Linked DNA regions of Drosophila melanogaster. Changing the gene in region 1 together with any one later gene gives a genetic interaction. Each region holds a gene or a part of one and is shown on either strand. Other genes may lie near its edges.

Evidence for each region. Genes that interact genetically often act in the same process or in processes that back each other up.
Region 2: of bs (region 1) and Bap170, changing one enhances a phenotype caused by changing the other (phenotypic enhancement), as found in Drosophila melanogaster (one study listed by BioGRID).

Annotation. Positions count from the first base shown.
Region 1 is NT_033778.4:24,341,066-24,345,880, reverse strand, and holds the start of bs (blistered), read right to left. Parts: upstream 3,021-4,815; 5' UTR 1,792-3,020; coding exon 1,207-1,791; intron 1-1,206. UniProt on the Drosophila melanogaster protein: Required for the formation of intervein tissue of the wing. Acts in a dosage-dependent manner to suppress wing vein formation and promote development of intervein cells. Might play a role in the proper formation and maintenance of the trachea.
Region 2 is NT_033778.4:6,634,945-6,642,522, reverse strand, and holds Bap170 (brahma associated protein 170kD), read right to left. Parts: upstream 6,012-7,578; 5' UTR 5,835-6,011; coding exon 5,593-5,834; intron 5,529-5,592; coding exon 4,513-5,528; intron 4,343-4,512; coding exon 1,536-4,342; intron 1,239-1,535; coding exon 237-1,238; 3' UTR 165-236; downstream 1-164. Other genes in the region: Trap1, read left to right, coding at 6,536-6,668, 6,745-7,578.

The sequences.
Region 1 (4,815 bases):
TAAACATTTAGTTTATACTTGACATTTTATTGCCATTCTAGCGTACAACAAGCTAAACGTTTTCCCAAATCTCCCCTTTTAAATTTAAGTGCTCCAACGTCTTTGTTTTTGGTCTGCTTGGGTCAAATATTTCATAAGATTTTGTGTCTTGGGCAAAGATCGTGCTGAGATCGTGATTTAGCGCCGCGATGTTGATGCTTTTTGTCTGATTTTGATCGGGGCTTGGTTCAGCTAGTGGCCAGGGAAGTCTATTTCAGAAATGTGAAAAATTTCATATACGGCCCCCAGATCGATGGAAAGCAGCAGGAGCTAATGCAGTGGCATTATGTAAGTTTGCGTGTGAAAATTGGTCATTTGAAAATGCCAAGGCAACGTTGCCAGTTGCAGCGACTTGTGGGCCACCATCCACAAGGAGCACGCATCAATTGTTTCGGGGGAGGAGTGCTCCGTGGGCAGGAGCCTCCTTTGAATGCAATTGCGGCGGCAAATTAACATTTTATGAAGCCGAAAACAAAGGCAACGCGGAATCGTGGGCTACCGCGCTTACACAACGCCGCCAAAGCGGCCAACAGTTGGCCAAACAGACGCGATCTGGCCAAAAGCAGAGGATCTGCGGCTACTGTTCTAGAGATGAGCAGAGGTACTTCGCGGGCACAGTGGTTCGGGTTTTTGAGTCTTAAATCAAATTGTTTAGCATTAGGTTTGGGATCCCAACATAAGGTGGCCTATAAGCAATTTCCAAGCAGAATTTGTATTGGTCCAATAAACATACTTCCAAGTGGAACTAATAATTGGTAATGGACACAAGAGAAAGATTTGAATATTTGAACTGACGAGTAATGTACACAAATGGTCTAACTGTTGGATATATCCATTGGGTACTTGATATTCCGAGATGGTTCTCCTATTGTGCGCCAGCTATCCCGACCACTGTGCCGATGGCCAATTGACAATAAATCCTCGCTCTTTCCGGAGGCAGAACAATGCCAGAGATGTGGGGGAACTGCTGGATTCCGTCGCAACTGAATCCCTGAAGCATTTATTAATTGCACATGCGCTGGAAACGTGGCCCGATGTCAACATCCCAATTGCAGCGCCAATCGTGGCTGGAATGGGGATTGGGATGGGGATCGATTTCGGTTTCGGGGTTGGGTTGAAAATATCGTTGGGGATGGGGATGGCGTAGGGGTGCTCCAGCGATCTTACCTTCTTCATTATGCCCGTCTTGCGCTTGGAGAAGGTCGTGTAGCGACGCAGCTTATTGTCGATGTATTCCATTTTGATTTTGACACGTCCCTTTGTCTTTTTGCCGTTGGCAGGCGGAGACTTCTTGTTGGGCAGCGGGTTGTAGTTGTCTACGCTGTCGTCGACGGCTCCGCTGGCCACGTTGTCCAGTCCTTGGAGGGTGAGTCCGCCGGACGAGCGGTGGTGATCCTCGTAGCAGTCGCTGCCGGAGCGCTTAAGGCCGCGTTGCTGCTGGGGATGCTGCTGCTGCTGTTGTTGCTGCTGCTGGTGTTGCTGCTGCTGCTGTTGTTGCTGCTGCTGCTGCTGGGAGGCGTGCTGTGGGCTGTGGAGCGTTTGGCACTGCGGGGCAGGGGGTGCTCCTGCCGCGGGATTGGGGCGCTGCATCGGCGGAACGCCGCCCATGTTCTGGAGCAGGCCACCGGAGGGCGGGCGGCCCGCCCCCAGGGCCGGGTTGCCGTACATGTCCGCCGGATCCGCCAGGCTCAGCCCTATGCTACTCATCGAGTAGTTGAGATTGTACCGCGAGTCACCTCGCGTCGGATCCATTCTGAGGTAAAAGTTCTCCACCGTGGAGCCGTAGAGATCCAAGGCACCGCGCGCGTCTATTATTGCGTTTGGGTTTCGGGTGCTGGGAATCTGAATATCTAGAATCCGGCCGCGGCACACTTTTCAGATCAGATCGCTTTATATTCCAAAAATAAAACCACACAGAAAACACTCAACGCGCGCGTTTCGCTGGCGTTTTCGGCCTTTTTGGCGGCGGCGGGCGCGTTTCTGGGGCGGTTTTTGTGCCCGTCTGCCTGGGGGCCAAGTTCTCAGTCGAGGAAAACGCTATAACTTATTAAAAACCCGGGTTTTTTTTGGCCAAGAACGCGAATTTAAGTTTCTTAAGTGCACGCACACACTTACGCGCGCACACACACAGGAAAACTGACAGCTGACAGTCCTGCAGTGTTGGAATGCGGCTGAAGTCCAGGGATGCAGCGCTCGTGTGTTGCGCAGTGTGGTCGTTTGGCGCGGAATTTGAATTTTGGTTTGTGTTTAATATTTAGGTTCTGGACCGCTTTTATGGCTTGTTTCCAATGGCTTTAAGTTTCTTTATGGCTTTTAATTTCATTTAATTGTATGTTATTTTTTGGTTGCAGTTCTTTTAGTATATTTTATTTAACTGGTGTTAAGAGTTTTTATCTTTGTTTGCCTTCTAAAACTTGTGATTTAATATTTAATGTTTACTATATGTGTTGTTTGTTGAACTGGTTTTAGATGATTTACCAAATCCTTTCTCGCGTTTTATAATTGTTGTGGTTTATTGGGATGTTTGCTATTTTCTAAAAGTTTTCGAAGGTTTATCATTGAAGACGTTCCTTCTCATCGCTGGCTGATGGTGCTTTATTCCTTTGATTATGGCCTCTATAAGTTGTTATCTCCTTAAGTCTTCCGCTTGCTGTCTGCTTGTCTCGAACTGATTGCATTAATATCCGTTTTTTGTAAAAATTGTTTAAGTGTTTCTGGTAAAAAAAATACGCCTAACTTTGTTTCGACTTCGTAGATTTAGTGCAGTTATGGGAAATATTTGTGTTTTTGTTTGTTCCGTATGCGTTGCAGTTGGTTTGCTTATTTGTCGCTAGGCACTTGTTTGGACTGTTTACTTTATTTGTGGCGATTTTATTGTGGTTCATTCCAAATACGAATTCGAAACGATTCGACGGGCTAAACTTGCGATCGATAGCTGGCGTTCGTTGTTCTTCAGATGGCGTGCAAATACCTAATAAACTTCAGCGTATTTCCACCAACGATGTTCGCTCGATATTCCAAACTTGGGCGAACCGGTTTCCTCTTTTCCTAAGAGCGCCGCGCTCTCTTCGATTTCGAACGCGAAGAGTACGGAGTACATAAAAACAAACCCCAATCCCCCATTCCCCGACCCAATCCCCACCCCCGTTCGGCGTCTTCCTGCTGCCGTCGTTCATTTTGCTGGCTTTATGGCTTAATTAATTAGATGGCCACGCCCCCATATGCATACCCATTCGCTGCGCATGCGCACACATAGATCGTGGATTTGGGATTCATATGGCTGGGTGGCTCATTGGCTCCTCCCCTTGAAAACTCGTGGTTGAGTTCGGTAATTACATACGTGGCGTTTCGCCTTATCAGCGCTGTTAATTTAGTTAATTTGTGATCTTCTGATTTTGTGATTTTCTGATTTTCTTATTGCTGATTTTGTAATTTCTTTTGCGACATTTCGCAGGCTGAGCTTTGCGGGCATCTTGAGTGCCCGGGCGCAGCAACAAAAAGCGATACACTTAAACTATGCCAGGAATTTCTTAGCCCCGCCAATATGGTCAGAATGCTCTAGAGGATTTGCGTGGTGGGCCCACTTGTACACAGGAGCACGAGTATTTCGCCATGTCCTTAAATAGAGGTTCGCGGAATGGGCAAAGGGGCGGAGTGGGCATGGCCACGTGCAGCGACTAGCAGATAGCAGCAGATATGTATATAGTAAGCGCAGATAAATCGATACACTCACTGCGCCCCGATCCGCGATCGAAGATGATGCATTCCCCAGCTGCAAATGGTCATCGTTGCCTTTTCCAGCCATCGGTGTCGTTGTCGCCAGCTTGTCTCTTCCGCGAATAAGCCAGTCCAGGTCCCGTGTCCAGCTCCACGACTCCGACTCCGAGGTCGACTCCGATCAAGCACCAGGACCAGGACCACAGCCAACTGCAGCTCCGCTCCTCTCGCATTTAATTAGATGGAATATAGGAGCTCGATGGTTTGTCTACCTGCCCGGGCTGCCTAATGATTTAAATTAATCATAATGACTGTCAAAATAGAACGTTTGCCGCTGCCAGCGGATCATATAAGGATCGATCCACGCAGCGGGCACCAGGTCTTCTGGACACTACGGGAAAACGGATGCCACTTGGGTCACTTGAATCTGAATGATGCCTTCCACTTGTATTCCCATTTCCCCAAGACTGCGAAAAGAAAGAACAATAAATAAAGATGAAGTTTGATGATCCCCACGCATTCCTAATAATTCCGTATTTTATATGGATTAGGTTTACAGATGGGTCATATGACATATGCATCTCTAGCTCTGTGACACTTTTTTATTGTGTAATTTGGTTTTAGTTGTTTGCTAAGTATTTCTCCGAGTGCATTTCGATGCAGCTTCTGGTCCTGCTGACATTTCATCATACTCACACGGCCTGCTGGCTGTTGGCTTCTTGGCTTGTTGACTTGTTGGCCTGCAAGCCTGGTCTGAGGTTCTCACAATTGTAGACGCGTTCTGTGCAGCGCTTACTAATTGGTTAGTTGGCTGCAGGCTGGGCTCTTCAGCGTCTGCAGCCATCCAGGCCCTCTTTCTCCGCCGTTTTCTCCTCCACCGGCAGTAGGAGTCCGCTGGCTCCAGTGCGGCTGTCTTTCTAGGCAATCGTCAGCCTGTCTGGAGGAGAACTCTTGGCTTCTCTTGGAGGCTTCTGGCCAGCTGGGAACAACTGCAACATGCTGTAGTTTTTGCCATCGCACTTTCCGCGGAATTCTCCCCAGCTGAACATTTCTAATACT
Region 2 (7,578 bases), about 18 Mb from region 1:
AAAACGTTTATTTGCTAACCAGGAGTATATCTGATAATGTCCACCATAGCTCTTTAATTCTAAGCCTCGTAGAATTGTAGAAGTCAAATTAAAATCTTACTCCCGAATCTCCCATATTTTGGTGCTATATGGTATGAATCATTTAGACAAACAAGGTATGGTTTGCTTTTCACATTTTTTTAGTGTCGTTCTTACAAGTCAGTTAAATAATCATATTGATGGTAAGCTATATCGGCTTACTGGCTCAATTCGTACATGATGTGGGAGAGCACTCCGCTAGCCTCCACATTGCTAAAGGCGACATTGGCCAAGCGTGACTCATAGCGTTTCAGGCTTCTCTTGGCCGTAGCCGAGTAGGTGACCAGGTTGCGTATAATGAGCGCCGCTGTCAGACGGATGCTCTTGGTGACTGGACCCTCATTTTCGTCCATCAGCTCTTTAGCGTTCGTGTAATCAGTCGTGTGTCGGTTCATAGCTTGCATTGCGGCGCTGCCAACGACTGGAACCGCTGAAGCAGGACCCGAAGGTGAACCAGTAGCGCCTCCCGCCAATCGTTGGGCATGACCCTCGTTGCGCACTATGGTCACGGGAGCCTGGGTGGGCGCCACATTGTGAATCCCAGTTGCCAGGCGACGTTGCACACTGGCGCGCAAGTTCTCCGTTGTCAGGTGCCGGTCAATCAGATGCGTCATCAATGAGTACCGTTTGCGCGCTCTGTTGTCGCAGAAGTTGGGTCCGCTGCCCCACTGACAATAAATGTCGGCATCAGAATCAAGGTGATCTGGACAGTGGACACTGCACACGTGGTACTGCAGCTCGTTAAGAGACTTGAATTTCTTGCGGGGACAGTTCCGCCAGTCGCAGATGTACAACCAATTTGCATCCACGGGCATGGGAGAGGGCGTGGGGTTGGCATTCGGGCCAGAAGCAGCGTAGACGCTCTGACTGACAACCAAAGAACTGCTGCTGGGACCTGTAGTTACGACAGCAGGTGGGACAACCGTCTGTGCTACTACCTCTGATTCCGCTGGCTTGGCCTCGCTGGTTGCTAAGACAACTGTTTTGCCGCCTTCCGTTGAATCACTAGTTCCTGACGTCGTTACCACAACAGCCTGGGTGACTGATGGCTTGGGGCTAGATACTTGAGCAGGTTGTGGCGGCGCCGGCTTTTTTGCTAGGAGAGTTACAGTTGGTGAAACTGGAACGGGTGCTATTTTCGGTTTGGTCGCTTCGGAAATCTAAAATAATATATTAAAATATTTGTTTTAGTCATCTTAGCACAATTCTTATTACCATACACCTGTTGGCTATTTAGAAAAGAGATCCTGTAAAACCCGCCACTCAAGTAGTGAAAACGCGATGGAAACATTTAAAAATGGGGAATGTGAATGTGATGCGATTTATGGGATTTAGAACGGGCATGGGCATATTATGAAATCAAATTTTAAGCTGTTTACATACTTTTCAATGACCCTTGTATATATACTTAAAAAAAAATAATAATTCTTTAATTTCGGCCCCAGTTCCCAACTTACTGCCGGCATGGTTATCTTCTGTTGGATGATGGATGGATGATGCTGCTGCTGCTGGTCCAACACAGATCGAATGTGATGTTGCTGCTGAAGAGCCACGCCTCCTACGATAGCCGTGCTGGTAGGTGACTGAGTGATGATCGTCTGCGAGTTAAGCTGGCTTTGCTGCAGGGGAGCCGGTGTGGCCGACGTCTGGGTAATTAGCGTGGTCTCCTTGATTCCGCCCAGAATTACCTGCCTCTTTTCCCCACCAACCGTACCGCCAACTGTGGAAGTAGGAGTGGAGGGGCCCGAGATTATGTGTTGCTGGATGATAGACTGATGTTGCTGGAGCTGAGGAATGGGCAATGAAGCGCCCGGCTTTGCGGCAACTAATCGCTGCTGGGGTGCTAATTGCGGCGAAACGAGCTGCGGCTGTGGTTGGGGCTGATGAAGCTTTATAGTAGCCGGGATCTGGTTCAACTGCGACAGCAGTGAAGGCGACATTTGGCCAGCACCCAACGCCGGAACTGGTCGCTGGGGTGCGATAAAGATTTGCTGCTGGGGGGTAGAAGTACGCGGTTGGGCCAGTTGTGGAGCTGTGGTGGTGGTAACCAGGACCTGCTGGCCCTGCGCCGTTGTCATTATCATTTTCTGAGTGCCAGCCACGTTCGCCGCAGAGACTCCTCCTGGCTGCTGCAGGATTATTATGGTCTTCGTTTGTTGTTGTGGTGTTTGCGTCACCAGCAGAGTGGGTGGTGCCGACTGCGTGGATGTCGGAATAGTCGGCTGCTGGGCCACAAGATACGTCTGGCCTTGCTGGTTGGTGGCCAGAACATATTGCGTCTGCGGAGCTGGCGTGGAATCCATTGCAGTCTTGGGCTGCAGGATCACTGGCACAGTTTGCAAGCCCTGATCCGTCTTTATGGTGGCCGTGGTGGCAAGTTTTAGTTGGGAATGCGGAGCTGGAGAAACCACATTGCTACCGGGGAAAACAAGTTGACGTTGGGTTGGTTGCACTTTAGCCGGAATGAGTTGAAGCTGCTGTGCCTGTTGCGGGTGCTGCTGGCTTTGCTCCTGGCTTGGTTTGGCCAGCGGTGGAACGTCATCCATATCCTCATCCTCCAAAATAGATGCCGCCAGATCCGCATAGAGATTGGCTGCATTCTTCGAGGGAGTCACCTGCGCTTCTTCCTTGCCGCCAGAAGATGAGCTGCTGGAACTGCTGGCAGCGGCATCTAAAGCCAGACGCTTATTCTGCTCCTCGTCAATGGTTAATTTTCGTTTGGCAGCTGCTGATGCAATGATGAGAGTGCGCCCGCTGGCGTCTTTCGTCACTACGTTTGCACCACTCAATGGAGCGAGAGGTGGCGGGGCCGAATCAGTGATTGGCTTCTTTTCGATGGCCATCTGGGGGTGCAACGGCTTAATGGTAGTCTGACCCACCTTCACCGGTGTGTGCTGCATTAGCGGGTTGTTCACGAAGGCGCTTATAGCTGTTGAGGTTACCTTGATGGGCTGGGTAGCATTTGTGCCCGATGCCGTGGTAGCCACAAGGGCTGGCGGCTGCGGCGTCTGAGCTTGGGCCTTCTGCTTCTGTTGGCGTTCAGTTACCTTGTTGGCCAACAAGCTTTTGATGAGCGAGGAGCTTGGGGGTGGCGTGACTGCAGAAGAAACGCTTTCCTCAGACGCCACTTCCGTTTGAACAGGATCACTAAATGGTTGCTTGGGCAATATTGGCGTGTCCTTTTTAACAGGAACAATGCTGGGGGTGGGTCTCTGTTGCATGGCTAGCGGCTGAGCTCGCATCCTAATGCCTACGTAGTACGTCCCAGGTAGCTCTATTCCGTCCAGGTGCCGTACAATTACTGGTCCCACCGATTGATTAAATATAAGCCGCACTAGACGAGGAAACTGCATGTGATTAACCACTGAAAGCTTACCCGCCTTCTGGCAATGCGATAAATATATTCTGTATAGTTCCGCTTGTTCCACACGGAGATCGTTACCGTTCCCAGCCCGTTCATACGTGGCTCCCAGCCAAGCCAGCGCATACTGTTCGTCCTCGTGTGTAAAACTCTGGGAGGCGGAGGGCAGACTGGGAAGGGTCACGGTGGCAGCGATTGGTGGCAATTGTACCTGCGGCAGACTGGGTACAGGCAATTGAACCTGTGGCAGACTGGGCATTGGCAGACCGGGGAGAGCTGTAACCAAGGGTGTTTGCTCTCCGTGAGGCAGCACTTGCGTCTGGGCGGGTGTAGGCGTGGGTAAAACTGCTGGCGGTTTAACAGCTACTTGCAGCGATGTTGGAAGTGTAGTCAGGGAAGTGGGACCTGGAGCAAGAATGGCGGGCATGTTCTGAGCCAGCGAGGCAGCCATGTTTCCGGGGAAAACCTCTACGACACGCATTAATATGCAACCGCCTGTGCCATATGACTGAGCCTCCACTGTGATAAGGGTCACCAGCTGGTCTATTAGGCCACGTACTTGCATCAGCATCGAACATGGCCGAGCGCCAAGAGCACTTAGTGCGTAAACTGCCTCCAGCGTAAAGATAATCATCATGACGTCGGTAAGCGAGAGGAGCAACATGGCTCGCTGGTAAAAGTCCAGGCCAAGGCAACGATTGATGTGCTGCGAATTGCCTTCTCGTCCGCACAACTTATAGAGTATCTCCAGACAGCTCATGATCACCGCGCGGTCGTTAGAGTCAATACCCTCGCAGAGAGTAGCTAAAAGATTCCGCGATAGCTCGTCAGTGGTGGGGTCTAGCAGCTCAAATTGTTGAGCCAGGTTGCCAGCGGTCTCGAGGGCCTGGATGTGAATGTTGCCTAGAACGAGCGAAACGTGTTTCAGTTATTTTATTTTAAATTGATTCTTTCGGGATTGCTATGCTACGCAATAGTCAATTTCCTTGCAGTGTATTTATGATAGCACCTTGATACTTCGTACATTCAAAGCGCCAAAAAATATAATTTCTAAGCAGATAAAAAAAACTTACTCCATCGTACGTTTGCTCCCATGACCAAATATCGCCACAACGTGCGGTTGGAGGCCAAGAGTGCATGATTCTCCTGATGAAAGCTGAGTGTACGGACTAGCTGGACAATCTGAAGCACTCGCTGGCCCATGCGCTCATCAGTCCCGTTGCTCCGGCGCAGATTAAGGAAGTGCAACTCGTCGCAGGCCGCCAGCAGTTCACTTCGAGCGGCAGAGTTCTCACCGTCCTCCTTACTTATCAGACCGTTGTCCAGCCAGGCCTGCTCATCCGTGTAGAGCTCTAGGACCTGTGGCTTGTCGTGTAGCAGGTCGCGCCAGAAACTGAGCTGCGAATGGTGTCGAACCTCGGTGTAACTGTGCTGGAACAGCTGGCGCATGGTGAAGTCAGCGTAGACTCCCAGGTGAGCAAGCAGCACATCAAGCAGTTTGGGGCACTCGGACAGCTGTAGGGTGTGGCGCGCCTCGTTGGCCATAAGTGTGCACACGTTTATGGCGAAGTCCTGCTCATTGGGCAGCGGAGAAAGCAGAGACAACAGCAGCTTCTCGTAGCTGCTGTGTCGGTGCAACTGCGTGGACATCTTGTACTGTCGGCGTCGTTCCACATTAACAGAGTGCTGGCGCTGGTTGTAGGCCATTGGCACCGCCGGCAACGTAGAGTGTGCTGATCCAAAAATGCTTCCTAGGCCACCACCGGCGCCAGCCAAAAAACGAGATCGCGAGCGTCCACCGCCCATTTCTACAATCTCAATAGCCGCCTCCAGAGCCTCCATCTTGTCTGGATCCTCGCCAAAGAAGTTCAACCGTTCGTACTTGTCCAGGTAGCGTCTGTAGATGTGCTTGATACTAGCCGTTCCGTTAACGCAGCGCTCCCGCAATGTCTCCATGGCGCTGTACACCTCGTCCCACTCGTCCCGCATGGTCACCTTATTAAAGCCGCCTCGTTCGGTTACCTCGTTGTACAGCTTGTACAGGTCGACATGCTTACCGCTGATCCTGGCGGGCTGTGTCAATGGAGTGCTGTTTGGGCAGAGGGAAAGTGGGTTAGGTCGTCTCCAAATACAGGAGAGCCGCGGCAACTCACCCGCGTCGTTCGTGAAACTGCTGCAGGTCCCTCCAGAACTCCTCCGGAGGTGACGGCGGCATCTCCTCGACCTTCTCCGGCATGATCTGTAATTGGGCGGGATTCTTGGCGCGAAGGGGAGTCGCTGGGGCCGCAATCTTGCCCGGCGTCTGTAGATCGCCCGGCTGAGTGGCGCTGTTTACGGCGGCAGCAGGCAGCGACTGAAGCAGCACCCGTACGTTGTCGATGGTGGTGGCGCTCATGATTGGATCTTTTTGTGTGGTGGCGTGAATGGGAAACACTTAACACATGATATTCTAATAGTAAGACACGCAGATGCTAATTAAAATTATTTAAAAAACTCAACAAAAATTACAACGCGACGCTGACGCGCTACAGCAGAGTTGCATTCACGAGCAGGGCTGTCAGCAATTGGACCGTATATCGATATGAGGTATCGATGTCTTTCAATATTGGATTTGATTTAACTTTCTTTTATTTACTGTCTTCTTTGAAGACATTTGTTATTTCATAACTCAAAAATCAGCATCCAATCTACATTGGCTAAACAATGAAACGTAATCTGTTCTTAATTCCTTCAGAATTTACGGTTTGTTGTTCACAGTTGAAACATCTCTATCTCTCTCTCTCTCTCTTGCTGATCGAAATCTTTAGAGAACTAGTCAGCTGGCAGTTTGCTTCAGTTTTGAGCTGAATAATGTGATGAAACTGAACTCTCCATTACATGTAGTAACTCTTATTCAAACCAACTAAGCATTTGAGTCCAAAATTCATTACAGCCCAGAAATTTGGAAGAAAACACCGTTATGAGTAGGGTTTTACCAGTTTACTATTATCGAATACTTACAATCGATTGATTTGGCTACACTGTGCACACATGTGCGCTGGAACAAACTTCGTAGTTGGGTAACATTAAAGTTGGGCAAAACATTAAAACAACAAGATGTCTGTACGAGCGATGGGAGTGCTGGGCCAGGCGTGCCGCCTCGGTCGCTGTGCCCAAGTGTTGAGGCAGAGTCACCGATCCGCCCCAGCAGCGTTCAATATCACCATTGGATCGCAGCATTCGCCGGGTGGTAAGCACTGAATATAAGCAACCGGCTCCCCGGAGGGATTCTTATGTTTACATAACACTCATCTTTTCACTTGCAGCTCTCTCGCTCCGTCGCTACTCCACGGAGACCAAGCAGGCATCAGGATCAGTGGTGGACAAGCATGAGTTCCAGGCAGAGACGCGCCAGCTACTTGACATTGTGGCTCGTTCCTTATACTCCGACCACGAGGTCTTTGTGCGCGAGCTTATTTCGAATGCAAGCGATGCGCTGGAGAAATTTCGGTACACCTCGTTGAGCGCTGGAGGCGAGAATCTGGCTGGAAAGGACCGGCCTCTGGAGATTCGTATCACCACCGACAAGCCACTGATGCAGCTAATCATCCAGGACACGGGCATCGGCATGACCAAGGAGGAGCTGGTCAGCAACCTGGGCACCATTGCACGCAGCGGCTCGAAGAAGTTCCTGGAGCAGATGAAGGGGACCCAGCAGGGAGCCAGCTCGGAGGCATCCTCGAACATTATTGGTCAGTTCGGCGTGGGCTTTTACTCTTCCTTCATTGTCGCCAATAAGGTGGAGGTGTTCACGAGGGCGGCTGTGCCTAATGCACCCGGACTGCGTTGGTCCACGGATGGCAGTGGAACCTACGAGATCGAAGAGGTGCCTGACGTTGAGTTGGGAACGCGAATCGTGCTTCATTTAAAGACCGATTGCCGTGAATATGCGGACGAGGAGAGGATCAAGGCGGTAATCAAGAAATACAGCAACTTTGTGGGCTCACCCATCTTGCTTAACGGAAAGCAGGCCAATGAGATCAAGCCTCTGTGGCTTCTTGAGCCACAAAGCATCAGCAAGGAGCAGCACCATGACTTCTATCGGTTCATTAGCAATAGCTTCGATGTCCCGCGCTTCACCTTACACTATAATGCTGACG